Linked DNA regions of Elephas maximus indicus. The protein of the gene in region 1 interacts with the protein of each later gene in a pairwise test. Links are inferred from orthologs where the notes say so. Each region holds a gene or a part of one and is shown in the gene's direction. Other genes may lie near its edges. The genes, in order: IFT20, NUP54, KXD1 and EXOC7.

Evidence for each region.
Region 2: the proteins of IFT20 (region 1) and NUP54 interact in binary tests that used the Homo sapiens proteins (3 or more experiments, as listed by UniProt). The two-hybrid records come from large-scale screens. The link is inferred for Elephas maximus indicus from reciprocal best matches to the Homo sapiens genes IFT20 and NUP54.
Region 3: the proteins of IFT20 (region 1) and KXD1 interact in binary tests that used the Homo sapiens proteins (3 or more experiments, as listed by UniProt). The two-hybrid records come from large-scale screens. The link is inferred for Elephas maximus indicus from reciprocal best matches to the Homo sapiens genes IFT20 and KXD1.
Region 4: the proteins of IFT20 (region 1) and EXOC7 interact in binary tests that used the Homo sapiens proteins (3 or more experiments, as listed by UniProt). The two-hybrid records come from large-scale screens. The link is inferred for Elephas maximus indicus from reciprocal best matches to the Homo sapiens genes IFT20 and EXOC7.

Annotation. Positions count from the first base shown.
Region 1 is NC_064837.1:23,671,421-23,679,338, forward strand, and holds the start of IFT20 (intraflagellar transport protein 20 homolog), read left to right. Parts: upstream 1-4,915; 5' UTR 4,916-5,080; intron 5,081-7,918. Other genes in the region: TNFAIP1 (BTB/POZ domain-containing adapter for CUL3-mediated RhoA degradation protein 2), read right to left, coding at 25-194, 804-1,008. UniProt on the Homo sapiens protein: Part of intraflagellar transport (IFT) particles involved in ciliary process assembly. May play a role in the trafficking of ciliary membrane proteins from the Golgi complex to the cilium.
Region 2 is NC_064823.1:81,130,299-81,137,490, forward strand, and holds the start of NUP54 (nucleoporin p54), read left to right. Parts: upstream 1-4,189; 5' UTR 4,190-4,251; coding exon 4,252-4,318; intron 4,319-7,192. UniProt on the Homo sapiens protein: Component of the nuclear pore complex, a complex required for the trafficking across the nuclear membrane.
Region 3 is NC_064821.1:38,493,092-38,499,951, forward strand, and holds the start of KXD1 (kxDL motif-containing protein 1), read left to right. Parts: upstream 1-3,853; 5' UTR 3,854-3,898; coding exon 3,899-3,940; intron 3,941-3,966; exon of another isoform or gene 3,967-4,152; intron 4,153-6,860.
Region 4 is NC_064837.1:66,346,761-66,354,052, reverse strand, and holds the start of EXOC7 (exocyst complex component 7), read left to right. Parts: upstream 1-4,280; 5' UTR 4,281-4,352; coding exon 4,353-4,412; intron 4,413-4,622; coding exon 4,623-4,688; intron 4,689-7,292. UniProt on the Homo sapiens protein: Component of the exocyst complex involved in the docking of exocytic vesicles with fusion sites on the plasma membrane.

The DNA of each region.
Region 1 (7,918 bases):
ACCCACTCCAGCTCTGCCCCGTACCTGCAGGGCACTCTGGCACATGTTCACCAGCCCCTGAATGAGGTAATACTTTGCTTCAGCCATCAGTTCCCTGATCTCTTGCCGATTTTGAGGCAGAGTGATGGTGTCATCTCGGAGGTAATTCAAAATGGTGCCAAAGTGCTTTCCACATCGATCTATGAGGATCCAGCCTAGGGATTCAGACCAGAGTTTAAGACCCAGAGAATTACTGTTTTCCTCCAGGTGTCTCAGAAACAAGCATGAGGCAAAAGGTCACTGGGTGGATCTGGTGGCAGGTGGCAAGAAAAGGAGTTACACGAACATAGGGCCCACGGCACAGTGGTGACAGAAGTGGGACCAGAACTTCCAGCTCTCAGGTTCATGGCTGCTCTTCACCCCTCCACCCTGCAACCAAGAACCGACACCTGCTGTGGGAGACACAGCCCTCCAGGCTCTGCTGAAGCCCCAGAGGTCCAAGCTCAGGAGCACTTAGGCCCACCTCTTGCAACACAGAAACCATCAGGCCCTGCTTTTCTCCTGCCCACTGCCTGGGCACTACTGCGATGGTTCTTAGGACTATAAAACAAGTATGGATCTTCTCCCTGGAAAAATGCATAAATGCACAACATTCTATATACAATTTCAAAGGATTCTGAAGCTTACAAAGGACTCCAGGTGAAGAAGTCCTATGGTAGGTGAGTTGAGACTCTAGATCTGCCAGGCTTAAGCCCCGCCCCGAAGTCACTTTTCAGGAACTCCTCCTTTTCTCTCCACCCGCTCAACAAGCCTTGATGCCTCACCTTCTTTGTCCGTCAGCACCTCCATGCGCCCACTGAACATGGCCTTGAGCATGGTGTCATGCCGAGTTAGTGCCCTCACGGTGGTGTAGTACAGGGAGCCACCTACATTGAGCTGGACGTACTTGTTGCCCAAGCTTCCACCCTTGAAGCTGCTTAGCTTGGGTTTGGCCCCTGAGGCTGGGCACAGACAGGTATCCCCCGACATCTCCCGCTGCAGGTAGATTACCACACGGCAGGAGGTAGGCTTGGAAGGCTCCACCGTGGTGGAAGGGGTCACGGGTGAGTGGCCAGTGGAGACCAGAGCCTCATACTCTCAGTTCTGTGGGCAAAAGATGTGAGAGAAGACAGGAGTCAGCAGAGTAGAGCCTGCAAACCAGAAGGGACAACAGTAGAAACACTGACCAGTCCAAGTACTCCCTGGCAGAGGCCAACTTCCTGGGCAACAGTAAGAAAGACTTCCCTGATGTTCTTTACTGTCCCAGGAACCATGCTTGGAGCACAGTTTCTCAGAGCCTGGCTCTGGTCACCTCACCAAGCGAGAGTTGAGTCAGCCTCCAGGAGACTCAGCTCAGCTCTGGGCAGCAAGAAAGAAAAGCAAGTCCTTGGAACTGGTCAGAGAGGGTCTGAGGAACAGACTGACAGCAGAGATCCTCATCCTGTGGAATCTGCCAGTCAGACTTGCTGTTATTCTGAGTTCCCAGGATCTCCGACTTCCAGCCAAACCTACTGGGAATGCAGCCTGCCTAGGAGTTTTCCAGAAGCCAGAGGGACAGGATGCACTTCCTTCCTACCAGATTCCATAAGCAGAAGCAGCCAGCACCAGTGCTTAGTCTGAGTGCCACCTGGGGTCTGGTTCCAGGAAGGAAAGTGAAAGCAGCTTTAGGAGAGAAAGAAGGCAGTGAGGCAGGTGGGAGGGTGCTGGCACACTGCTCTTGGCAGAGGTACCCTGGCTCCTGCTGGGGGCTCCTGACCTTCCCATTTCTTGACACCAGTCTTATCCCAAGTTCATGAAATTATCACTGTTTTTCAGGGTAGATCAACTACAGGATGGCTGTTTTCTTTTTTTTTCCTGAGAGGGGGCCCAGCCCTATCTTTCCCTCTCTTCCCTCTCAACAAGAAAAGGGCCACAAAAGACCAGAAGATAAATCTAAAAACAATTACGTGACTTGGAAATTGAAACTCTAACAGGAGTTCATAGGAGGGAGGAGCAAGGAAAGAAAAGGAGAGCAAAGCCAGGTCACCCCTTATGATTTAGATAATATATATACATATATATATATATACATTTTTTTTTGCTTTCTAAAAAATCAATAAAATTCATTCGCTGGAGGAAAAATGGTAATATTTGTTGCATGTTTACTATATGCCAGGTATAATTCTAAGCATTTAATACATATTAAACCCTAAAACCAAACCTGTTGCCGTCGTGCAAGTCAAACTCATAGTGGCCCTATAGGACAGAGTAGAATCGCCCCATAGGGTTTCAAAGGCTATAATCTTTACGGAAGCAAACTGCCACATGTTTCTTCCACGGAGTGGCTGATAGGTTTGAACTGCTGACCTTTTGGTTAGCAGCTGAGTGCTTTAACCACTGTGCCACCAGGCCTCCATTTAATTAACTTAGGAAAAAAAAACAACCACCACCACCAATAACAAATCCTACCTTTTGCAGTGGAGCCCTGGTGGCACAATGGTTAAGAGCTGGGCTGCTAACCAAAAGGTAGGCAATTCAAATCTACCAGCTGCTCCTTGGAAACCCTATGGGGCAGTTCTACTCTGTCCTTTAGTGTTGCTAAGAGTTGGAACTGACTTGACAGCAATGGGTTTGGTTTGGTATTTTTATGTTATGCAGCAGGGACAGAAAGATGAAGAGATTGTCATTTCCTTCAAGAAGTTGCAAGAAGCATCATAATGTCAGCAAGAATAAAATGAGAGCATTTATTGTGCCCCTACTATGAGCCAAGCCTATGAATACAGAAGAGAACAAACAAGTCATGTCCTCGCGGAGCTTACATGTTTGCATGTGTGTGTTTGTGTGTGTGTGTGTGTAACTGACAATAAACAAAAAACTAACAAATAAGCAGACAATTTTAGAAGGTGATAAATGCAAAAAAGATAATAAAACAGTGATAAGGGAAAAGCACTAATTTAAATAAGTGGCCAGGAAACTCTTTTTCGGGAAGGTGACATTTAAGCTGAGATCTGAAAGAGCATTCCAGACAGATAGAAGAATAAATGCAAAGCCTCTCAGCTAGAAACAAGTTGGACAAAAAGAAACAAGGTTAAAATGGCTGATGCACAGAAAAAAGAAGGAAGTTGGTTGAATGTAAGATCAGGAAAGGCAGGCATGAGAGTTTGGATTTTAACTGCAATGGGAATCCACAGGAGGGTTTGAAGCAGGGGAGTGAGATGATGTGGTTATGTTCTGAAAAGATCATTTTGGCTCCTGTGGAGAGAATGGATTGTAAGAATGTGAGAGAGGAAGTGGGAAGACCAGAGGAAGCAGTAGTCTAGGTAAGAGATGATGATGGCTTGGACTACCACTGTAGTAACAGAGACAGAAAAAGAGGAATTACCTCATTTAATCCTCACAACATGCAGCTTACAGTTGCTCATCGTTCCTTGTAAATGCAAACCGGTAACAGTGCCCTGGTTTCAGTTTACTGTTTTGCTCTGCAAACAATGCTTAGCACGATGCCATGCCTATTTTAAGTATTTAATATATGTTGGTTTGTTAAGACTTAAGCTGTCCCAGAAAGGATTTCTGTAGATCCCTGGGAAGAATGTGCAAGGACAGGCCAGAGCAGGTGCTGTATGAAGTACTGAATTCCTTTGTGGGTTGGTCCGGGAGGCTCTTCAATTTGCCTCAGCGATGGGACGTTGAGGAGCTGGGCCCTCACCCACAATCTGTCCAATCGGCAAGTAACAAATGGCAGGAGATCACCTTACTTCCCTAGCCCAACCCAAAGAAATAAACCCACCCCTTAACAAGTTTTAATAAGTTCCCCTTGTATTGTCTGTTGTGTCTAGACCCAGCGTTCCCAGGACCAAAGAAAGTACACATACATGTTCTGCCAAAGCAAAGGAACACTAAAGCTAAACTAGTCAACAGAGAAAGACAAAAGTCTTTGTCCAGAGCTAACCCATTCCCTTCCCTACAAAAGCAACTGCTTTGGGCCCATGAATGACGTCAGTTCAGATGCCGCCCAAACCAATGGATTCCAGGAATCCTGCGGCAGGTAACGCCCAGAAGGGAATTCCAGGGAGGTGAAGTTTCCTGCGACACCCTCAGTGCTCTTCCTTCCGGACTTTGTGTGTGGATTATTTGGGGGCGCCTTTTTTTTTTTTTTCGGGCTAGAGGCGTATCCGTGTCTCACTCAGTGAAGATTAAGGGATTCAAGCAGAATAAAGGATAAACAGCCACCGCGAATACGGTGGGAGAAGGTGGGGTCCTGAGGAATAAGGAGCAAGAAATTCGTCACACAAGGGATGGTGAGGAAAGCCAATCTTGGCAGGAGACAACGGCTTTAGGAGAAATCCTAGGTGTGAATCTTAGCCTTTATTCAAAGGGTCCTGGTGAAATTTAGCGAGCCCCAACATCTATGGGAGCCACTGTGGAGTCTTCCCCAGCCCGTACTCCTTCTCACTACCGAGACCAGTCCTGACGCCCATCCCCAGAGGAGGATTTGAGCTCTCCATCTCTCCTACGCCGTCCCTCCCCTCTCCCCCAATACCGAGCGGGCCCGTCTCTGCTCCAGCCCCTGCTCTCACCTTCCCCAGGGGCGCCGCTCCCTTCTCTCAGCTGGGTCTCTAGCAGGCTCCTGGACCGCGGCCGCCTGCCCGCCCGCAATCCCCGAGCGTGAGCTCACATCCTCCGCCCGCCGACTCCGCCCGGAGCCGCGGCCCAGCCCTGCAGTCGGGGAGCCCGAGACTACAAGGCCCGGCATGCCCAGCACGGTATCGCGGGGTAGAGGGCCGGCCCCTCCGAGTATTCTGCGGTGAGACCACAGCTACTTCCGGCAACCCGGCCAGCGCAGAGGCCTCTGGGTCTTGTAGGCAGTCATCCTTACCCTCAGGCCTCCGTTTCCCAGCAGGCTCTGTGGGGGTGGGCGGCTGTAAGTGTTTCCGGTGTCAGGTAGGGACGTCACCGGTAAACAGGCCCTGTAGCCGTGGCAGCGGCCGAGGCCGGCAGGTGGGCAGAGTACCGCTGACCCGCGAGCGAAAGTGCCGCAGACATCAGCCTGGACCGCAGCGCGCCACCGTTACGGGGCCTGCAGGTAGGCCATGACTGCGGGTCGAAGAATGCGTGCTCGGCTTCGTGCCCCCGAGGCTGGGGGCAGAGCCGGGCGGGCCCGGGGCGAGATGAACTTGACAGACCCGTGCCCGGAGGCTGTCCCGGGCCAAAAGTGACGGGGGAATTCAGCCCGACTTTTTTTTCCTTTTTTTTTTTTTTCCTTTGGGAGTTGTGTTTACACCCGGCTTAGGCCAGGAGCTTCCTACGCGTTCATGCGCGCAGTGATTTTACGAGGAAACTGGTTCAGATAAGTTCCAAGAGTTTACGTAGTTAGCACAGAGCCAGCTCCATCGCCCAGGTCTTCCAAACTTTCTGCCCAGTGCGCCTTCCTTCACACCCCACGGATGGTGTTCACTGTTGTGCCTAGCATGGCTCTGGGAGGACGGGGGGGGAGAGGGGTGAGGGGGGCACAGAGAGTGTCACAGCATCTATTTGGAGGGAAGTCAGCCCCCGCTATTTACCCTGTGTTCCCCAGATGCAGACATGGCGTGTGTGGTAGGAGTGAGGAGAGAATCTGGTAGTTGGCTGTGAACCCTCTCCCTACACTGCTTCTCTGGTCTTATCCATCTCATTAACTATCCCGTCCAGCCATTCCGTTGACTCAAGATAGAGACCTGGAAATCACGCCTCTTTCCTTCATTCACCTCCCAGCCACCACATTCAGTCAATCCATTGCCAAGTCCAATGGACTCAACTTACAAAATATCTCAAATCAGAACGCTTTTTGTAATTTCCAAGCCTTGGTTACTGTAATAGCCTACTACCTGTTCCCACAGTCATTCATGCCACAAACATTTACTGAGTGCCAATTATGTCAAGGCCCCATGTGCTCGGGCTACAGGTTTGAACAAGGTGGTGTAGCCAGCCCCGCCCTCTTGTTCTCCCCGATCCATTCTTCATCCTGACCCAGAGTTATACAGTGAAACCTGTGAAAGCCGGAACTCGACGGGACTGCATTGTTGTTCTGGGTCTCTGCCTTTGAAAGGGTGTAGTCTTGCTACTTTTTTATCGCTTATTTTAGTGGAAAATATTTGAGTTTTCCTTCTCTAACAGGTTTCTGCCTTACATTGGTTCCAGCTTTTGCAGGTTTTACTGTATTTCTAAAATGCAAGTCTGATTATGCCACCTTGCTGAGAATCCCCTGGCTGCCCATTACCCTTAAGATAAAATCCAAGTTCATCACTGTGGCTTTCACAGCCCTCCATGATCCAACTCTAGCCTTGCTATCTAGCCTCATCCTGTCCACTCTTCCTCTTGCTCATGGTGTTTCAGTCACAGTGGCCTTTCAGTTCTTGGACTGCCTCAGGTTTCTTACAGCCTCAAAATCTTCATACACGCTGTTGTTTCTGCCTGGACTGCCTCCCTTTCCCCTTCACTTGATAAACTTTTGGACATCCTTAGGTCTCAGCTTAAGTTTCGCTTTTTCGGAGAGGCCTTATGCTGACACCCTTTCCCCATATGAATTATGTCCTCCTGCTACACCTTCACATAGCTCTGTGTGACTTTCCTCATATTGTTATTATGATTTGTGATTATTTGTTTATTGTCTGTCCAGAGGTCAGTAGCTAAAGGATTTTGTTCACTACTTGATCCCCAGAGCAAGGACTCAGTAGATATTTCTGAATGAATGCATAGTCCCTGGGGAAGAGGTGCAGTGTATCAGGACAACCAGGAAGACAAATCTTTTTAAAAAGCCTGATTATAAGTAATCTTGGTATGATTAAATGTTTCAAAGGAAGATGCTACCTTACTTACTTCAGTGGATTCTAGTGAGGCCAAAGGCTCTGGGACAGAGTCATACACAAGCAGCCCATAGACATACATTAGTTGGCCCACACAGTGTTGTGTGGTTTTGTTTTTTTCCCCTTACTTTAGACACCAACACTTAAAAGTCAGATTTCATATAAAAATCCGTATTTCTGGTCCCTTGAAAATCGGAAGTGCTGGCAACAGTGGGGCTTTCTTTTCCAACCGTTGCTCCTCTTGTGGAGCCCCTGCCCCCGGCAGTCACCATCAGAATCACCCCTTCAGAACAGAACGTCTCTCAGGAAGCTAGAAGGGAACCCAGTGAGGCTGGGGGAGGTGGGAGCAGAGGGAAGGGTCTGTCGCAGGGGCAGGTGATGGCAGCCTTTGGAATACCTGGGTTTTTGGAATTGGCATAGCAGCCAGTGGAAACCCTGGCGGCATAGTGGGTAAGAGCTAGGGCTGCTAACCAAAGGGTCAGCAGTTCAAATCCATGAGGTGCTCCTTGGAAACTCTATGGGGCAGTTCTACTCGGTCCTATAGGGTTGCTAAGTCAGAATTGACTTGACGGCAACAGGTTTGGTTTATAGCAGGCAATGACTAGAATTAAGTAGTATTGCCTCCTTTTCTAGACAGGGCATGCACTGTTTCTGTTCGTTTTTTGCCTGTTTCTTAAGCCAGAACAAGGGTGAGTTTTACGTGTTTCTTCTCCCATGATTGACACATCCTTTAGCCAAAAATGTGAGGAGACCTGGGAAGACAGACACTATCTCTGTTGGTTCTCTGTTGCCTACAGAGAAAAAAAAAAATCCAAACTCCTTAGCTTAGCGTACAGTCTCATCCAGATTTGGCTCCAACCCAGCTTCTTTTCCATCCTCTTTCCCTTTATCCTCTGGGCAGGACAGGCCCTCTCGGTGACTTCAGACCTTTGTCCACTCTGCTTTCTCTGCTTGGGATGCCTTTCCCTGGCCGCCTCTGTGGTACACTCTTGCTGATTCTTCATTCCTTTTTGTGTTTCCTGCTAGCCAGGATGACCCACATTTGGGTTCTACTTCAGGCAAGTGTACAGTACCCTATA
Region 2 (7,192 bases), on another chromosome or scaffold:
TGGAGGGGCGGGGATGGGTAGTTTGCAGCATGAACTGGGGGTGACGGGAAGAGGTTGGAGGGCAGCTGTCTTAGTTATCTAGTGCTGCTATAACAAAAATACCACAAGTGAATGGTTTTAACAAAGCAAAATTTATTCTCTCACAGTCTAGTAGGTTACAAGTCCAAATTCAGGGTGTCAGCTTCAGGGGAAGGCTTTCTCTCTCTGTCGGCTCTGGAGGAAGATTCCTTGTCATCAATCTTGCCCTGGCTGAGGAGGTTCTCAGGTGCAGGGACCCCAGGTCCAAAGGATACACTCTGCTCCTAGTACTGCTTTCTTGGTGGTATGAGGTCCTCAACTCTCTGCTTGCTTCCCTTTCCTTTTATCTCTTGAGAGATAAAAGCTAGTGCAGGCCACACCCCAGGGAAACTCCCATTACATTGGATCAGGGAGGTGACCTGAGTAAGGGTGGTAGTATTACAATCCCACCCTAATCCTCTAACATAAAATTACAATCACAAAATGGAGGACAACCACACAATACTGGGAATCATGGACTAACCAAGCTGACACATATTTTTGGGGGGACATGACAGCAGTGCAGGGCAGGGTCTGGGAGACTGAGTCATTACTGCTCAGGGGCATGGCATTCAGCACACAGTGCAAATAGGCAGGAGGGAAAGGAGAGGATGTGATGTGCAGAGCTAAGTGGGTGGGTAAAAGAAGAGAAAGAAGAGAGAGAAACAAAGATAAAAAACAAGCAAAAAAATTAAGTTAAAAAAAATTAAATGGCAGTTCAGTAGGATTCGGTGGGTGGGGGTGAGGCTGACCTGGTGAGGCCATGTACTGGTGGCTCTCTAGCCAAGCAGTGTGGCTTGGCCTGTTAAGAAGAGGTGTGGGTGGCGCATGGGGCTAGGTGGGTGGAAAAAGGAAAGAGGGGAAAGAAAGATAAGAAACCAGCAAACAAATAAAATAAATAAATAATAAAAACAACAGCAACCAAAAAATGTGGTGGTGGGGGCAGTGGCCATTGGGGATAGGGCGGAATTGGGGTGGCTGCAAGCTGATCTCTCTCTTGCCAGGTGGCACGGCACGGCCTTTCAGGAAGGGACATAGGCAACGCAGGGCCTAGGTTGGAGGGAGGAGGAAAAGGAGAAGAGGAAAGATAAAGAAAAATAAAAAATATGATGCTGAGGGAGCTGGCCTGTTGGAGCAGCACAGATGTGGGAATGCTGTGTGCCAGAGGCTCTCCAACCAAGTGGTACAGCACAGCCCACCAAGAAGTTGAAGGTAGTGCACAGGGCTGGGTGGATGGGAGAAAAGAAGGGAAGGGAGAGAGAAGAAAGAATAACAAAAAAGAAAAAGAAAACAAACAAAACGATAAATAAAATTCTGCTTAGGGAGCCAGTTGGTGACAGCAGCGCAGACTTGGGGAGGCCATGCACAGTTACTCTCCAACTGAGCTGTGTAGCACGGCCCCTCCAGAAGAGGCTTGGGTGGTGCCCAGGACTGGGTGGGTGGGAAAAAAAGAAAGGAAGGAAAGGAGGGAGAGAAGAAACAGAAGAAAAGAAAAGAAAAGAAAAAAAAAACAAAGCAGACAAACCACAGCCCATCAAGAAGGGGAGGGGATGGCACACAGGGCTAGCTGGGCAGGAGAAAGGAAAGGAAGGAAGGGAGGGAGAAAAGCAATTAAAAAAAAAGCCCCCACAAACAATATTAAAAACAAATAAATAACAAAAAAGCCCCCCCCAAAATAAAAAAACAAAAATACAAACCAAAAAACAAACAAATGAACAACAAAAAAAATGGCACTGAAGGGGCCGGCTGGTGGGGGCAGGACGGACCCCAGCAGCAGTGTGCTAGTGTCTCTCCTGCCGAGAAACCATGGCCCGATGGAAAGCACTGAATGCCACACTGGGAAGGATGGAGAGTGGGAAAGCGTGTATCCCTGGTTATTGGGTGCTCTGTCTCCTGCTGGGAGCTCCATGGAGTTACTTTCCCATACTCCTGTCTGAGTCCTTTGGCAGCTATATCCCAAGATGGTCAATCACGCCACATTAGCTGGTATGGGACCTCCACTCCGTAGCTCTTGCTATTCTGTTCTCTCTCAGTTTTTTATTCCATATGGTGCTTGATCGAGTTCTTTATTCCTTCATTTTGTACTTAGGGGCTCCAAGATTGACATTTGTATCTGCTTTACTTAGTTTTTCAGGTCTTTGCTGCAGAGGGATGCATGGTGCTTCTGTCTATAGCATTCTGTTGGTTCCACCTCCTTTCACTAAGCAACTCTAAACCTCGGTCCTCTCATTTTACCTGCAAAATGTGGTTAATAACAGAGCTTCCTTACGGGGTTATTAGCAGGATTAAATGTTACCGCAAATAAAATTTGAAGGCACGGATTTTAGCATTTAGAAAGCTCATTGTCTCATCTGGGGGACATTCTCCCCATTTCTGAACCCTAGAAGGTGGGCCTTGTCTGCTGTGCTCAGACTTGCGAATTATCTGCACACTGGTCTTTGAGAAAGTAACTTTATTGCAATGTGCAGAGCAAGGCGCCAAGAGGAAGTTCCTTAGATCCAGCTCCCCAAGCTACGGAGAAGCAGGGCTTATATGTGATTTGGGCAGCAAGATGGTAGCTGCACGGGCGTACTAGAGAGGGAAAATTCTAGAAGGTGGCCATGAAACAGGTGATGTGACTCTTGTCGGACCTCTGGCTTCAGAATAGGGTCCAGGCGATGATTTTCCTCATGTTGCTGCATCCTCTACTGAAGTTATGTGGTCACAGCTGGTCCTTCTGGTCATGTGGGGAAGACCAAATCTGGCTTGCATTAGTTTAAGGACTAATAGAAATTTACTAGCATTCACAGGGGCAGGTTATATACCCTTCACTGTTCAGTGCTCATGGTACAGCTTGTTGATTAACATCACGGACTGGATTCAGCGTGTCCCTTTGTGGCTGTTTCCTCTTCCATAAAATGGGGGTGATAATAGTAATTTACTTCACAGGGTAATTGAGGAGTAAACTAAAAAGATGTAAAATGATTAGAAGAGTGTCTGGCACATAGGAAACACAAGATAAGTGTTTGTTAATGTCGGGGGATGGCCCCAGCAAGGAAAGACCCTCACTGTGCATCCTGGCAGATAATCTGAAGAACTGACACATAGCCCTTTCCAGATTCATATGTTCAGGGAAACTTACTCACACAGGCAAGCAGCTGCTCTCTCCAGTGGCGCCTGGATGGAATATTTTCTGCAACCACCTAGCAAGGGACCCAAGCTTATATACCATTCCAGCTGGGACAAAGTCTCATCGTTTTCTACCACGTCCTTGTGCAGTCAGTGCTCCCAGGGACTTAGCGTCCAGGCCCAGATGTTTTCCTTCTTGTTGCTAAGGCATTCTTCGGCCTTGGCCGCTGGCCCAGTCATGCCACTCCTGGCCTTTTACCTTAGTCCAGGTCCATCCCGAATTCATCCCCAGCATGCTTCAGGGAAGAGCAAAGCTGACTCCATTAGGGAGGGGATGCATATCGCTGAATAGCATTACCCTACAGTTAATATTACTGTTATCTTTTGTTCTTCCTACATGTCACCTCTTTCCTACTTCTACTTCGCCCACTCATTTTTCAGGACTGGGTTCAAATAGCATTTCTCGGGGTTGGGGGGACCTCCTAAACCCCAACCTGGGTCCTCCTAGGACTGCTCTTCGAAAAGGCTACATCTTCAACGATAACACCAAGGCATGTATATTCAAGGTGTCTACTGCCTACCTCTACAATAATGACTTCAGGCCCTGCACACCTTTCCAAGATAAGTCCTTAAGGCACATCTGAAGGGCTCTCAGGCAGCATTCCCTCTCAAGCTTCCTAGCGTATTACCTTTGTTGTGACTACCCGCGCCCCGCAATGACACAAAACGCTCAGGAAGCAAGCTGGACTCACGGAGTTTCCTCTTCACCCTCTACGCAGGTCCTTGGCACGTTCCCACCTTCTACGCTGGTGGTGTAGTGGTTAAGAGCCACAGCTACTAACCAAAAGGTCCTCAGTTTGAATCCACCAGGTGCTCCTTGGAAACCCTGTGGGGCAGCTCTACTCTGTCCTCTAGCGTCACTATGTGTCGGAATTGACTCAAGGGCAGCGAGTTTGGTTTTAGGTTTAGGCTGGGCCAAAAAGGAAGCGGAACTGGGTTATCGGGGCCGCAGTTTCCCTGCCGGACGGAAAAGCCAAGCACACGGAGCGTCCCAGGAGCGGCGCCTTGGTCCACTGCTTCCGCGACATGGCCTTCAACTTTGGGGCTCCCTCGGGCACGTCTGGCACCGCTGCAGCCCCCGCGGCCCCCTCGGGTGAGTGATCCTCCCAGACCTTCCGTCCGGGAGAAGGGTCGGCCTCTGGGCCTTCCTGTGCCCTCTAAGTCCGCCGGTCCCCGGCCTGGAGACTCTGGGATCTCCGGCCGGCGCGGAGACTTTATGGACATCGGAAGAGGGCGGGCGGCGGCGGCGGAGCGGGCCAGGAAGGCTCCAGAGGAGGGCTCGGGGGCCAGAGGCTCAACCCAGAGCTCGCGCGCCACGCGTGGGCCCCGCCGGGCCCTGTCTTCCCGGGGTTGGTTTCCCGCCGCCGGGGAAACGGCCTCGCGGACACTCGAGGGGCTCGCTTACCCCCTTGCCCGGGACACGCCTTCTCCTCCCGCCTCAGCCCAGGCGCCTGGCGGGAGGATAGGGCCTGGGGAGACCAAGGCGCTGCCCCGCAGCTCGCTCCGTCCGCGCCCTGCAGGGGCGGGACCCTTCCTCCTGGCCCCGTGGACCCTGGTTACTGGCTCCTCCTTTCACCTGTTCCTACCTATTCTGCTTTCTTGTTTGGAGAAAGTCAGGTTTGTCTGTAAAACTTCTTGCTGATTCTTCTAATCCTTATCTTGCTTTCTTTTCTTTTTCTCTCCTCTCCCCCTTTTTTAATTTAATTTTTTGTTTCTTTGCCTACACGCCTATCAGGATTTGGTGGGCTTGAGACTGCCAACTCCACCGCCAGTGGGTTTAATTTTGGGGGTTTCGGATTAACTGCTAATCCTGCAGTGAACTTTAATATTGGGAATTTCGGTGTTTCCACAACCTCGGCAACTCCGTTCAATTTTGGTAACAGTCTGGCGAGTGCAGGTAGATACTGCGGGCCGTATGTGTAATGAGTGTTGGAAGCCGGAGTCCAAGAATAATATTTCGGGATTCCTAGAGTGTGAGAAAGAATAGTGAGTTGTCTAATAAGGAAAGGAAATTCATTTCCCAATGTTGAATTAAAAACATTCGTTTCAGGTTTTGACTGTCCTAAAAGATGTGGTTCTCGGAAGTCTTGCAAATCATAATGTTCCCTTGCTAAATTTGCATTTAATTGAACAAAATACAGCTTCCAAATGATAAGACTTTGGAATGGGATATTATTTTGAATAGAATATATCTTCCAGATTATTAGCTTTCCCTTCCAAAAATGTAACCTCACTGATCAGGCCCATTTTCTTGGGGTTCTTGGACTCCTGCACTCATTTTTCATTTTCCCTACATCTTTCATTGAGATTTTATTTGATCGTCCTTGTGTTTCCCAAGAGAAACAAGTCTTATACGAACAGCAGTAACTCTCTTGTTTTTTAACTGGTAAATAATGTATTTCTTTGGTCAACTCAGCAGATTAGGGTACATGATTTCTATAAAATACACAATTGTAGAAAGAACCCCAATTCTTTACTGGTTTTTTGGGAAATGACCTGAGAGAGCAATTTTCTTTATTGTCAGACAGCATCGATTTCTAAAAGGTAGGATAGACATTTTTGCATTCTGTCATAGTTTTGAAGATTTTGGTATTTAAATGAATTATTCGAAGCTAGTTAAAAATTTTGCAAAACACTGACTGTAATGGATATATATATATAAATTTAGAATAGGCTTATGTGTACTTTACATAAAATGACCCTATAGAAAAATCTTCTTTTTCAGCTGCTCGTATATGAATTTAGTGTCTGTATCTGTTACATTATGCCGCTTAGGCCCGTGCCAATTATATGCATCTGGTAAGCATTATTTATTCCCTAAAACTTATTTGGGAAGTCTGGTATTTTGAGCATTTACTTATTACTGCACTGTAAATATCACCTTAGCATCTGAAAACAGTTTGAAGAATATTTGAAAATTCTAAAGATAAAAGAATCCATTATCTAAGATATATTTGACATCATTACATGTTATTGTCTTGGTATGTTTACTTTTCTTTGTTTGCTTAAAATTGGCACTGGGTAACACATTATTTTGTTTCCAAATAAAGCCACCCAGCTCATAATTCAGCAATAATAAACGTGTTTGTATTTGTTTGATTTCATTGTTTATTTAGTGTTATCACTGTTAAGTTTTGAGTTCTGATAATGTAACTGTTTTAACTACATTTATGTTAGTTAACGTAGCCTTCAGCAAAGGGCTGATAGAAATTCTTGTTTGCTTTTTTTATTTTGTATCATTGCAGAGTCATTGTTACTAATAAATATTCTTGGTATTGTGGAGCATGATAAGATATTGACTAGTTTTTTTTGTGGAGCCAATTCAGAGTATATCGTAGTTATTAAATGGGTGTGAGGAGTAATGAAAAAGACTAAGATCAGTGTTTAGTACTTTAGGTGATTTTTATTAAAATATTTACAGTTTGCTGTACTGCAGTAGAACCTACAAGTAAAGAGAGTGTTTGGCTATGCTTGCATACAATATAGGTGTTCCTGGGTGGCACGAATGGTTAAGCACTGGACTGTTAGCAGAAAGGTTAGCAGTTCAAACCCACACAGAGGCACCTCAGAAGTAAGTCCTGGCAATCTGCTTCCAAAAGGCTGCAGCCTTGGAAACCCTATGGAACAGTTGTACCCTGCACACATGGGGTTGCTATGAGTTGGAATTGACTCGACAGCAACTGACAACAACTGCAGCATACAACATGCAGTTTACTTTTGATTAATTTTACACATCAGAATTATATGATCTACTATCAAAGAGATTTATGTTACTGTATTGATACATCTTTGTCCTGCGTACCAGAAATATATGCAATTCAAGTTAACCAAAAACCAAACCCATTGCCGTTGAGTTGATTTCGACTCATAGAGACCCTATAGGGCAGAGTAGAACTGTCCTGTAGGGTTTCCAAAGAGTGGCTGGTGGATTTCAACTGCCGACTTTGGTTACCAAGTTCTTAACCAC
Region 3 (6,860 bases), on another chromosome or scaffold:
CGTCACACTCTTCAGGCTCCTCCAGCCTTGAGTCCTGCTCACTCCCAGCGCAGTAGTGATCCCCACAGGGCTGGGGGTGTCTGTGTCTACCTCTGTCTCCCTTCCTCCTCTAGGGCTAGGCAGGAATAGAGTGCTCTCTGGATCCCCAACATATGGCCCAAACCCAGAGGAAGCAATGGGAGGGCTTAATCAACAAATTTCAAAACGGTTTGTTGAACTAAATCTATAAAAATACTGGTCCTCATTGACTTTTCAACAAACGATGCAGTGGAGTGTGGGAGTAATAATATTACCTACCATTTACTGAAAGGAGCCTTAGTGGCACAGTGGTTAACATGCTTGACTGTTAACCATAAAGGTCAACAGTTTGAACCCACCAGCCACCTCACAGGAGAAAAACCTGGTGCTCTGCTTCCATAAAAATTTCACCCTAGGAAACCCTATGGGGCAGTTCTACTCTGTACTATAGGGTCACTATAAGTCAAAATCGACTTGACGGCACACACAACAACAAACCATTTTTGAGGATTTATGGCATGCCAACCCTTATGGTGAGTACTTCACCTGCATGATTGCATAACAGTCCTCCCTCCAAGGCTAGTACAATGATTATCCCCACTTTATGAACGAGGACGTCGAGCTTTGGGGACTGTCTTAGTCATCTACTGCTACTATAACAGAAATACCACAAGTGGATGGCTTTACCAAAGCCAAGTAGTAGGCTAGTAAGCTACAAGTCCAAATTCAGGGCGTCTGCTCCATGGGAAGGCTTTCTCTGTGGACTCTGGAGGAAGGTGCGTGTCATCAATCTTTCCTTGGTCTAGGAGCTTCTCTGCAAAGGAACCTCGGTCCAAAGGATGTGCTCTGCTCCTGGCACTGCTTTCTTGGTGGGATGAGGTTCCCAACTCTCTGCTTGCTTTCCTTTCCTTTTATCTCTTGTAAGATAAAAGGTGGTGTAGGCCACACCCCAGGGAAACTCCCTTTACATTGGATCAGGCATGTGACCTTAGCAGGGGTGTTACAATCCCACTCTAATCCTTAACATAAAATTACAATCACAAAATGGAGAACAACCACACAACACTGAGAATCAAGGCCTAACCAAAGTGCCACATATTTTGGGGGAACACAGTTTAAACCATGACAGGGAGGTTAAGCCACTAGCCCAAACCCATCCAGCTTGAATGTGACAGAATTGGAATGAGAACTCTGTCCCATTTCAGGGATTTTACAGTCTTCCATGTACCTGAGGACTTATATACGTATCTCCCAAGCTCTCGACACCCTTTAGAGGTAGATACCATGATCACTACAACTTACAGTTAAAAAACTGATACAGTGATTACATGCATAATGTATAACATATGCACACCAGAGGATCTCAATAACTAATAATGAGTTATTAACATTTCTTGAACAATTACTATTTGCCCCATTTGGTTCACGCATCTAACCTGGTGTCATGAATTGAATTATGTCCCCCCAAAAATGTGTGTATTGACTTGGTTAGGCCATGATTCCCAGTATTCTGTGGTTATCTTCCATTTTGTGATTGTAATTTTATGTTAAAGAAGATTAGGGTGGGATTGTAACACCACCCTTACCCAAATCACCACCCCAGATCCAAGGTAAAGGGCGTTTCCCTGGGGTGGGGCCTGTACCACCTTTTATCTCTCAGGTTTCGGTGGTGCTTCCTGACTAACAGGCTAGTAAGAGAGACCCGGCAATCTACTTCTGAAAATTAGCCAATGAAAACCTTATAAATCACAACTGAATATTGTTCATTGTAGTGCTGAAACACAAGCCTTCTAGGTTGGAGGACACTCAAGATATGTAGCAGATACAACAATGGACTTGAGCATACCAGCAATCATGAAGATGGCACAGGACCAGGTAATGTTTCATTCTATTGTACATGGGATTGCTATGAGTCAAAGCCAACTCCACAGCAGCTAACAACAACATACAGCTATTATCTCCTACCTCTCACTGCAGAGAGGGCCTAGAAACAGTGACATCCCAGTAGCAATGAGCACATCCAGCATCCAGAACTTGGTTTCTAAATACCATTCGTACAGAAATGGAACCAGGCTCGAGGACAAATGGCTGGTTCAAGGATTGTGCCAGAACCTAGAACATCTTGTGGCGCCAGAAAGCAAGGAAATGCTCAGAGAATGATGGGTTTGTGTCAAAAGGATGCAGAAACAGCACTGAATAATTATGTGCTATTATCCATTTAAAAAAACTTTTTTATTATCCATGGAATAAAATAACAGTGAGTTTATAGTGATATAAATAATTGCATCAATAAATACGTGGAGAATGAACAGTAGAATTCTAATGAATTACCAAATCAATAACTAGAAAGATCGCAATTAGGCAAATACCCCACTAATAATTGTGGCCACAAGGACCATGGAGAGGTGCTAAAATTTGCAGGTGAAAATACGACAAACAGGGTATTTGCATGGTCTCTAAGTATCTTTCCATAAGATACCTATTATTTGTAAAGAAAAACATAATAACTTCACAGTAAAGAAATGGAGAGACAATGCCTTAAATAGCAATCTAAAAAATCTTGAGAAGGACACAGCATCACTTGTGTGGGATTTCTGCCAAAGATGTACCATCAATCTAATCACGAGGAAACACGGGACAAACTGATGTTGAGGGACATTCTACAAAACTGAGCAGTACTCTTCACAAGTATTAATATCACAAAAGATGAGGAGAGACTGAAGAACTGCATGGGCTGGAGGAGATTAAAAAGACACAACAACTAAATCCCAAGAAAGCTCTTGACTGGGTTCCTGCACTTGCAAAAGGTCTCCAAAGGTGGAGCAGGGATTTTGGAACCCAGGTGACGCTAATTCTTAGTCTGGAAAGCAGGGTACCAGGGTCTGGGTGTATCTAAGGCCACTGGAACATTGTATGGCCTCAAGGCAGTACTTGCTGCTTTTCAGAACCAGGGCTTCCAAACGGTTCTTCCAGGTTAAGTCATGGCTGATGAAGAGAAACTGAACCAGATCCAAATTTTTAGAATTTGGGTGAACCAGAATGATACCCAGAATGGTAAAAATTACAGGTTGAAGCCCTGCTGGAAACTTAATCTCCCTCTTAAAAAGCAGGAGCAGCATACACGTTGCGTAGCAACCGAATCTCTTGACGCTGGGATTTTGAGCATAGCCAGAAACAGCACTGCCCAGCTCAAAGATGGCAGCCAACCATGCTGTTTTGAATGTGTCACTCTCCACCAAACACACTGCCTTTGAATTGATTCTGACTCATAGTGACCCCGTAGGATTTCCAAGGCTGTAAATCTCTACTGAAGCAGACTGCCACATCTTTCTCCCCAGGTGCCACTGATGGTTACGAACCACCAACCTTATGGTTAGCAGTTGGTCGCTTTAACCACTTCGCCACCAGAGCTCCTGTCGCTCTCCACAATTCTGCCGATAATTCAGTCTTAAGCATGAGGCACCTAAAACGGCTCACTATGCCTCTTCCAAGTCTCTCATTACAGGATTTCGAAATTGTAAACATACATATCTACTCAGAGTTCGTCTGCCATGACTGAACCCATTCGAAGCCCTGATAGAGATTCAGCCTACCAATCCATAAAATGGAGGAAGTGTCTCTCACGTTTCCCCACTTCCGGGCTTCCTCGGAGCGCAGCGCAGGCACAAATAGGATTATTTGATTGGCTATTTATTCGGACGCACCGGTGAAAGGGGGTGGCTGCGTCTAAGCCCCGCCCTTCCGGTTGCACCTCCTCACACGCACGCACGCACGCACGGAGTCCAAGTTCACGTCACTGCCTTGCGCGCTCGCACGCACGGTGCGTGGTGTCGTCGCGGCGGCGCGGACGCCATCCCGGAAGCGAGAGCAAGACCGCCAGATGTGCAGGTGCCGCCACAGCCGCCGCTGGACCGAGGCTGGGGTGGGGACGGGGGCTCCGGGGCGTCGAGGAAGCTGGGTCTGGTCGGGCGCGGCCCTCGGGCTGCCGCGGGGTGGGGCGCGCCGCTGGCCACATCAGGACCCCCCTCCTGCGTGCACAGGCCTCAGTTTCCTTGTCTGCGCAGTGGGTGCGCGAGTGACGCCGCAGGACGGATCCCGATCCGAGGAGCGGAAGCTGGGGCCGTTTCTGTTCAGGTTGTGCTTTGTCACCTGAAGCCAGGAGTTGCCGGGCTTTCGCCCAAGTTTTCCTGCTTTGTAGTGGGGGGCGAGGGATGTGCGAACCTCGTCCGACTCGAGGGTTGTCCTGAGATCGGGTCGCGAAGTCCGGGCGCTTTTGCTCCAAGACTTGGGTGGAGTCGCGGCGCCTTGACATGTGACCTTGGGCAAGATACCGAGGTTTCCCTTAGGCACAATATTCCCTGCCTCATAGAAGTGATCGAGAATTATATGCAACGCCGTACAAATGTTTGCTCGTATTCTTGGCACTTGGCGGGGGAGCACTCGTTAAAATACCAGCTTGTGGGCCCCGCCCCAGGACGTCTCCAAAACCCCGCTGGAGAATCAGCATCCTCTGACCCCTCTCTAATCTCCATTGTCCCCAGTCTTCACAGACAGCGATCAGACAGCGATGTGACACCCTCACTCATCATTATTCTCGTTTTCTGGGTGAGAAAACAGAGAGGTGAGGTGACTTGCCCAAGGTCACACAAACTTTCCAATGCCGGTTTCTCCCATCCATAATATGTTTAGAGCAGGGAAGGGAGGAGAGAGATCCCCTGCTGGGTTTTTTTCTGCTCCGCTAGTCAGAGAGGACTTCCTAAGACAGGCAGCTGGAGAGGGGCATGAACTCCTCAGGCCTCACACGTGGGAGCCAGAGACAGGCAAAAGTCCTGCTTTGAAGTGGACCATTTCCTGCAGCACCTGTGTCTGCCAAGTGCTAGCTGTGGGCCTCCTACCATGTTACCCTGCTCTTTAAGCCCAAATGCCGTCTTCATACCATGGGTCACCATGCTTCCTTGGAAATACTGAGACCACAGGTGTTCACGCCTGGTGCAGTAGGAGCTCAAAAAACAGCAATTATTGGAAGAGGGGAGGGCTTTGACAGCTGCGGCAGTTGCTCCTGGAAGGCATAAAACCAAAAAGAAAAAGGAAAAACCAAACCTGTTGCTATGGAGTTGATTCAGACTCTTGGTAACCCTGTATATGTTACAGAGTAAAACTGAGCTTCATAGGTTTTTCAATGGTTGTCATCTTTAGGGCAGCAGATTACCAGGCCTTTCTTCCATGGCACTGCTGGGTAGGTTCTAACTGCCAACCTTTGAGTTCGTAGTCGAACACGAACCTTTTGCACCTCCCAGGGACCTTCCTGGAAAGTGTACAGGGATGCAAATTGGTAGCCAGGTTCAGGATACCAGTAGCTACTCTTTGGCCTCCAGCATATTTTGGGGGAAAAAACCAAACTGGTTGCTAGCATTTGTAAATGAGGCAATTTCACGTGAAAAAAAAAATCTCGATTTCTGTTTCTACTTGGAAAAAAAAATCAGAAGTCTGTGAGAAATCAGCTGCTGTAAGAAGCAACTGCTCCTCCATGGACAGATACTGAGCACTTGCTCAGATTCACCCCTTTGTGGAACCTGCAGACCTTGGGCATTTGAGTTTGTGACTCAGTCTCTCTGAACCTCAGTTTTCTCATCTGTAAATAAGGATGATAGCAGTTTCCAGTGTGTGAGCTTGGTGCTGTGCTTGGTATACAGCAGCTGTTCAGGAAATGGGAGTGTGGGTTAAGTAGGCTCTGAAGGCCCTTCATGATCCTGTGTGTGGATCTTGTTAGCTGTTGTTGAGTTGGCTCCAACTCATGGTGACTTCATGCACAACACAACAAAATGCCGCCCAGTCCTGCACCATCTCAATGATCAGTTACAGTAAGACCCTTGTGATCCATAGGGTTTTCACTGGCTGATTTTTGGATGTCAATTGCCAGGCCTTTCTTCCTAGTCTGTCTTAGTCAGGTAACCTAAAAAAAAAAAAGGCAAGCCCGTTGCTGTCAAGTTGATTCTGACTAATCGTAGCCCCAAGTGACAGAGTAGAACTGCTTCATAGGGTTTTCTTGGCTGTAATCTTTATAGAAGCAGATTGCCAGGGTTTTCTTCTATGGTGCTACTGGGTAGTAGTGAAACGCCAACCATTAGGTTAGTAGTCAAGTGCAAACCATTTGCACCATCCAGGGACTTTATCTTAAGTCTGGCAGCTACACTGAAATACGTTCAGCATCATAGCAACATGCAACCCACCACTGGCAGACAGGTGGTAGCTGCTCATGAGGTGAATTGGCTGGGAATCAAACCCAGGTCTCTCACATGGAAGGCGAAGGTTCTATTCTACCACTGAAACATCACTGCCTCACCTGTAGACTTCTGGTGAAATGAGTTCTTTTGTGTGGCCTTTTGCCTTGGTTCTTGGAAAAATAGCTTGAGAGCTTTTTCCTAAGGCTCGAGGAGTTACCTTTGCCCTAGTTTTCTTCCCCAGAGGGTTTGTTAATTTTGTCCAGGTTGATGGACATTTCCCAAACTTGACTTATAAACAACTTGACTTTTTGTTTTGGCCCTGGGCTGTAGCCTGCCCTGTAATTAGTGTGCACCTTGCAGGGATTGGTCAGTATATTTACAGAGAAGAAGTGTTTACGGTTTGTGGTCTACCAGGAGGGGATTGGTCAGTTCATGGCTCTGGTGGGAGGGCCATACTTTGAAATTGACCAGGAGTTTGCTTATATGTGCAGACAATTCCACAAAGGTTGGCAGACAGAAAGAAGGAAGAAGTGGAAAGGAGAAAAGGCAAGAAGAGAGAAGCAGCAGAGAGAGAAAGGAGGTGAGGGACCTCCTCAAAGAGCTGTAACACAGGTCAAG
Region 4 (7,292 bases), about 43 Mb from region 1:
GACTTTTTTGTGTGAGCCAGCCTGCAAGAGCATGCAACATCACGACTGAGGAAATGGAGCATCTGCTTTCCAGGCTTAGCTCTGGCACTTTCTAGACATGTCTCTGTGCCTCAGTTTCCCTGTAAGGACAACAATGCTACCCCATAAGATTGTTGTGCAGTTTACTGGAGAAAACCATTGTAAAGGCTCAGCGAGGTGCCAGGTACGTGCTGATACTCAGATGCCACTGGCTCTGTATACACATACCCCAGGCTTTCCTCCTGAGTGGTAAAATGTGGGGAATGTCACTCCCGTGTCCCCTCAGCCAGTGCCTTATGGCCTGTGTTCTTTTAATAAGCCATCCAGCGCTCGGCACGCACTGCCTGGTGATTATGGTTTCCTTGACCTTCAAGAATGATCCCATGGGCAGCTCGGGATGCTATCAGGGGCTCAGGACTGTCTTGGGGCAGGTGAGGTGAGGACTCCAAAGGTTCTGGATAAGTTAACTGTTTGGAATCAAAACACAGTTCTAAGCAATAGGCTTCCAAATTCACTGCACAGTCTGTTTACTTCGTAATATACTTGAACTCCAGCTGGAAAGACCATGAGGGCCAGGCAGGTGCTGGCTAACATTTCTTGAGCACCTACTATGTGCCAGGCCCTTTATGTAGGTTATGTCACTTAATTTACCTGAAATCCTTTAAGGTGGGGTCTTTTGGAACACTCGGTGTTTTAGTTATCTGGTGCTGCTATAACAGACATACAACGAGTAGGTGGCTTTAACAAAGAGAAATTTATTCTCTCACAGTCCAGGAGGCTAGAAACCCAAATTCAGGGTGCCAGCTCCAGGGGAACGCTTTTTCCCTCTGTCAGCTCTGGGGAAAGATACTTGTCATCAGTCTTCCCCTGGTCTAGGAGCTTCTCAGTGCAGGGACCCTGGGTCCAAAAAACGCACTCCTCTTCAGGTTCTTTCTTGGTGGTATGAGGTCCCCCTGTCTCTTTGGTGGAGTCTCTCCTTTATATCTCAAAAGAGATTGATCCAAGATACAACCTAATCTTGTAGATTGAGTTCTCCCTCACCAATATAACTGCTGCTAACCCTACTTCATTAGCATCATAGAGTTAGGATTTGCAACACATAAGACAAACACATCAGGTGACAAAATGGTGGACAATCACATAATACTGGGAATCATGGCCTAGCCAATTGACACACATTTTTGGGGGACACAGTTCAATCCATAACACGTGGTCTATTATTCAAAGAGGCCCTCCCTTGGCTGAAGTCACACAACTAGTAGGTAGCAGGCCTTTGGTCAGTGGAGGCCTATCTGACCTCATACCTCAACTGTTTCTCTTTCACTCTATGCCTTCCATGGCACTAGAACTAGGCATCACGTGACATACTCCCATGGGAACATATATCCACGGTTCCTAACCTCAAAGCCAGAATCCCGTTGGCCTCACAGACCTCTCCTGGGACCTACCCTGAATAAGATGAGAAGTGGGGATGGGAGGCAGGGGATGCTGGTCCCTGGTAGAGAGGGGCAGGAAGGGACGCAGAGTCTTCTCAGCCACATCTTTTGGTATGGGTATTTCTGCTGGTCCTGACGCTGTTGCTGTGATCCTCAATTTAGAGAGAGTTCACCCTTGTCCACTTGGTGATTACCTCAGAAAGCACACCCCAACCTCCTTCCCGTCGTGCCCTCACTCTCGACGTGTATCCATGAGTTCACCTCTCCCCTTTGGTCCTCCTCCCATGCCCCTGCTCCTCCCTCACACTTATGGCCTTGACCCTCATGCACTCATTAGTTTATTTGTTCATCACAGACATATCGGACACCCGCTCTGGGTTGGGCCAAGGGAGCTGGGGAGACAGGCTTTAGGAGGCGGGCTGACATCTTCTGTTTGCTCAAGGTGACGCCATCAGCTGTGCTGACCTGACTTGTCTCTTGCTTGTGTATGAGTCCTTTCTTGGAAACCAAGAGCAGTCAACTGCGATGACAAGTGGCCCCATGGCTGCCTTTGATCTGCCCTCATTCGGGCTCCCCCAACCACTCCTCTGCTCCACCTCTTGTCTGTGAGATTCAGGAATTGGCCCTTCTTCCTGGCAGAGGCCCCTCTCCCTGCTTCCATCACTCAACTGGGCATGGTGCCCCAAGTGACATCCCAGCCTCTCTGAGGACCTAAAGAATACACTGCCTTCCTGCTTTCCTGCTGGCCTGCCGTCCATTCTCTGTTCCACCTCCCCACCTACCTGTGAGCTAGCAGTGGGGGGCTTGGCTATGATTGGCACCTATGTGTTCTGCACAAGCTTATGGATGAAGTCAAAGGCTTCTGAGGCTGCAGCTGCAGTTTGCTCCTTTTGCTAAAGCAGCTTGTGCTGAAGATAGTTGGGGAATTATAGCTTTTATGGAATCAATGTCTGCTTATCAACACACGTTTTCATTGGGTTGAGAATAATTTAAACTCATCTTGCCATTCTGTCAGGTCCTTGGTTGGCCCAGAATTTGTGCTCGACTAATAACTGAAAGGTTGGCAGTTTGAACCCACCCAGCAGTGTTGTGGAAGAAAGCCTGGCGATCTGCTTCTGTCAAAATTATAGCCAAGAAAACTCCATGAAGTATAGTTCTACTCTGTAACACATGGAGCCACCATGAGTTGGAATCGATTTGATGGCAACAGGTTTGGTTGTTTTGGTTTTCATTTTGTCTACCTTTTAGTTCATGTGGTTGTCATAAATATAACCTGCTTTTCACAGTAGATTTTCTTAAAAACCAGATTGGCAGCTTTTCATGATCACAAATGAGACTCTTGAGCTATTCAGCATGGTGAGGTAGAGGAACACAGCCAGGGCTTTACCTGCTCTGGCTGGCCAGGTGGACTTTGTACAGCTTACATCTCCAAGCCTGAGCTTCCTCATCTGCACAAGGAAGACAAGAGTGGCACCAGACTCACAGGTTTATTATGAGGATTAGATAACACTAGGACAGTTATCTGTATCAGAGGCGGGCAAACAGAAGGCTCTCAGTAAATGGTAGTTGGCTACCAAATTATATACTTGGACTTTGAAGGAAATTGAGACTACAGAAAATCACACACATACGTAGTTTATTTACAAAAATGCAATAGCATTGTACAAACTTTAAAATGTTTGCTCGCAATCAGAGAGGATACCCTTCCTCAAACCTAGAAAGCAAGATGTTATTTTTCTTGAGCATCTACCATGGGTTAGTGCTGTTCAGAGGCTCAGAGAGGTTAAGTGCTAGGGTGCTAACTGAAAGGTTGGAGTTCAAACCCACAAGCCACTCCAGGGGAGAAAGATTTACAGCCTTGGAAACTCTATGGGACAGTTTTACTCTGTTCTATAGGGTCACTATGGGTCATCAGAGTCGACTGGAAGGCAACAGGTTTGGTTTTTTTGGTTTGGAGCTCTGAAGAGGGGGTCCTGTCAGCCTCCCAAGCCCATCTGATTTCCCCAGAGCTCCTGTGAGCCATGCTCCCTGCCCGTCTAAACACCTGCAGGCAGGCCTCTCTCTCCCTAGCTGGTAACAGTGCGCTTGCCCTGCAATCCCTCAAGCAGGCTTGGGGCCTTTCAGCCTTCCTCTTGCTGCTCTCCTAGACCTATGAGTTGGAGTCAACTCGGCGGAAATGAGTACGGTTTATTTTTTTGGAAGTAGGCTCTATCAGAAGTAATTCTCTACCACCAGGGTGGTCCACACACCCTGCAAATAAAATAGCTCTCTCCAAACCAGGCACCTAGGTGCGGCTTGGGGAGCATGCTCCGAGGCCCCAGGATGGATGCCCCAAGGACTCTGCCACCCCAGGTACCTGGCTGGGCCGTGCACAAGTTAGGACTGTGCTCAGGACCCGCTCAAGGGGAAACGACTACACCCCCAGGTTCATTAAATGCGCATGCAGGCGTCTATTGTGTGACACGCTCTGTGCTGTGCTCTGTAGGGAACGCAACGTCGGCGCCTCGACCCTGAATGCAATTGGGGAAGCGAATTCGTCGCCTTCCCAACGGTCTCTGTCAAAACGGTCGGTCTTCTCGCAAGGCCGGCAAGTGACCTGTAACTGTCCTGACAGCCGCAGGTAGCGTAACACAGTTCCGGAACCTTCTCTACCGAGGCAGGAATCCGCACCGACGGGAAACTGCAGTGCGCCAGGCACGCCAAACTTTCCACCCACACTCGCGATGGCCACTTGCTCTGCTGGGCCCCGGGAGGCGCACTTCCGCCTGCCACTCCCAACATGGCAACCAGCGCTCCCAGGGGCGGGGCCAAAAACGGAAGTGGGTGTGGTAGGGACGGGAGCCGAGCGGGACCGCTGGGACCCCATCCTGGGGCTTGGGGTCCGCAGGGTTTGGAGAGATGATCCCCCCGCAGGAGGCCTCCGCCCGGCGGCGGGAGATCGAGGACAAGTTGAAGCAGGTGAGGTTGGGGCTGGGCATAGCGGGGGAAGGGGTGAGGGAAAGGGGCCGAGATTGGGGCCCGGGCATCTACTCCCCGAGGAGGCAAGTGGGAGGGGGCACTCCTAGCGAGGAAATGGGGTCGGGGCGGGGGTCGAGACAGGGGCCGCAGACGCGCTGATCTTCTTTAGTCTCTGGCTCCTGGTCATGTCCTTCCCTCCGCTTCCCCCAGGAAGAGGAGACGCTGTCCTTCATCAGAGACAGCCTGGAGAAAAGCGACCAGCTCACCAAGAATATGGTGAGTTACTCCTCAGCTGGGAGAGGCAGATGGGGCTCCTACCCTACAGGAGAGCGATGCGACCCTGCGCTCCCTGGGCACCCAAGGCCTGGGGTTTTGGCATGGGTGGCGATGGTTGGACCGTGTGGAGTTCTCTGGCAGTAACATGGCATCTAACTTACCTAGCCCCCGTCCCCATGTTCTAACCCGTGTGGAGGATCCTGCAGTCCCCGCTAGTCTGGACTTTCTAAAGCTCTCTGTCCAGGCTTTCCATTTTCCCTTCTCTCCTTCAGCAAACATTTAGTGAGACGGACTAGGTGGGCTAGTCACTGGTCATATGCCACCTCCAACTCAAGTGACAGAAAGTCCCTTATAGGGATGGCATTTTGAGATTACTTAGGCCAGAGAAGACACAGCTTTCACTCCAGAGGACATTAGGGGTAGAAGGAGCTTTGAAGTTGGACAGATCTGGGATCTAGCCCCTGCCCTGCCGCTTACCGGTGTGATTCTACACAGGTAAATCTGCACCTCAGTTAACTTGTGTCTTAGTCTTCTAGTGCTGTTGTGACAGAAATACTACAAGTGGGTGGCTTTAAAGAGCATAAAATTATTTCCTCACACTTTAGGAGGCTAGTCCAAAATTAGGGCACCAGCTATAGGGGAAGGCTCTCTTTGAGCTCTCAGGGAAGATCCTTGTCTCAGACTTTTTTCTTTCTTGGCAATCTTTGCATGGCATCTATCTTTCCCCGTTTGTGCTTGTTTGTCTCTGTGTCTGTGCTCCTGCTTATAACTCAGGCAATTAGGTTTAGGACAAACCCTACATTGATATGACTTAGATAACATAACAAAGACAACCCTATTTCCATATGGGATTACACCCATAGGTATAGAGGTTAGGGTTCCAACACATATCAGGAGGACACAGTTCAATTTCTAACAGCTTGTTTGCTAAAGCAGAGACAGTGCCAGCCTCTCAGTGTGGCGTGAAGGGTGTATGAGCTAATGCATGGGAGCACATCTTGCGCAGTGCCTGGTATACAACAGGTGCTCAATAAATACTAGTTTCCGTCTTTATTCCTAGGTGAGACTGCTGTTGTTAGGTACCATTAAGTCGGTTCCGACTCATAGCGACCCCATGTACAGCAGAATGAAACACTGCCCTGTCCTGCACCATCCTCACAATCGTTTTTTTGCCTTGACCCCATTGTTGCAGCCACTGTGTCAATCCATCTGGTTCAGGGTCTTACTCTTTTTCGCTGACTCTTTACCAAGCATGATATCCTTCTCCAGGGACTGGTCCCTCCTGATAACATGTCGGAAGTATGTAAGATGAAGTCTTACCATCCTTCCTTCTAATGAGCCTTCTGGCTGTACTTCTTCTGAGACAGATTTGTTCGGTCTTCTGGCAGTCCAAGGTATATTTAATATTCTTCACCAATACCATAATTTAAAGGCATCAATTCTTTTTTAGTCCCCCTTATTAATTGTCCAGATTTCACATGCATATGAGGCAATTGAAAACACCATGGCTTCTGTCAGGCACACCTTAGTCCTTAAAGTGACATCTTTGCTTTTTAATACTTGAAAGAGATCTTTTGCAGCACATTTGCCCGATGCAATACATCGTTTGATTTCTTGACTGCTGCTTCCAAGGGCGTTGATTGTGGATCCAAGTAAAATAAAATCTCTTACAACTTCAATGTTTTCTCTGTTTATTATGATGTTGTTTATTGGTCCACTTGTGAGGATTTTGTTTTCTTTATGTTGAGGCGTAATCCATACCGAAGACTGTGGTCTTTGACTTTCATCAGTAAGTACTTCAAGTCCTCTTCACTTTTATCAAGCAAGGTTGTGTCATCTGCGTATCACAGTTTGTTAATGAATCTTTCTCCAGTTCTGATGCCATGTTCTTCATATTGTCCAGCTTCTCGGATTATTTGCTCAGTGAACAGATCGAATAGGTATGGTGAAAGGATACAACCCTGATGCACACCTTTCCTGTCTTTAAACCGCATAGTATCTACTTGTTCTGTTTGAATGACTGCCTCTTGATGTATGTACAGGCTCCTCATGAGCACAAATAAGTGTTCTGGAATTCCCATTCTTCATAATGTTATCCATAATATGTTAGGATCCACACAATCGAATGCCTTTGCATAGTCGGTAAAACGCAGGTAATCATCTTTTTGGTATTCTCTGCTTTCAGACAGGATCCATCTGACATCAGCAATGATATCCCTTGATATTCCATCACCAATGAGATTCCACACCCTCTTCTGAATCTAGCTTGAATTTTTGGCAGTTCCCTATCGATGTACTGCTTTTGAATGATCTTCAGCAAAATTTTACTTACGTGTGGTATTAATGATATTGTTCGATAATTTCTGCGTTCTTTTGGATCATCTTTCTTTGGAATGGGTACAAATATGGGTCTCTTCCAGTTGGTTGGCAAGGCAGCTGTTTTCCAAATTTCTTAGCACAGACAACTGAACACTTCTAGTGCTGCATCCAATCGTTGAGGCATCTCAATTGGTATTCCGTGAATTCTTAGGTAAGACTGGACAGGAGCAATTTGAGTAGATGTAGACTCGGCATTTGTATTCAACAATAAAACAAGTCAGAATC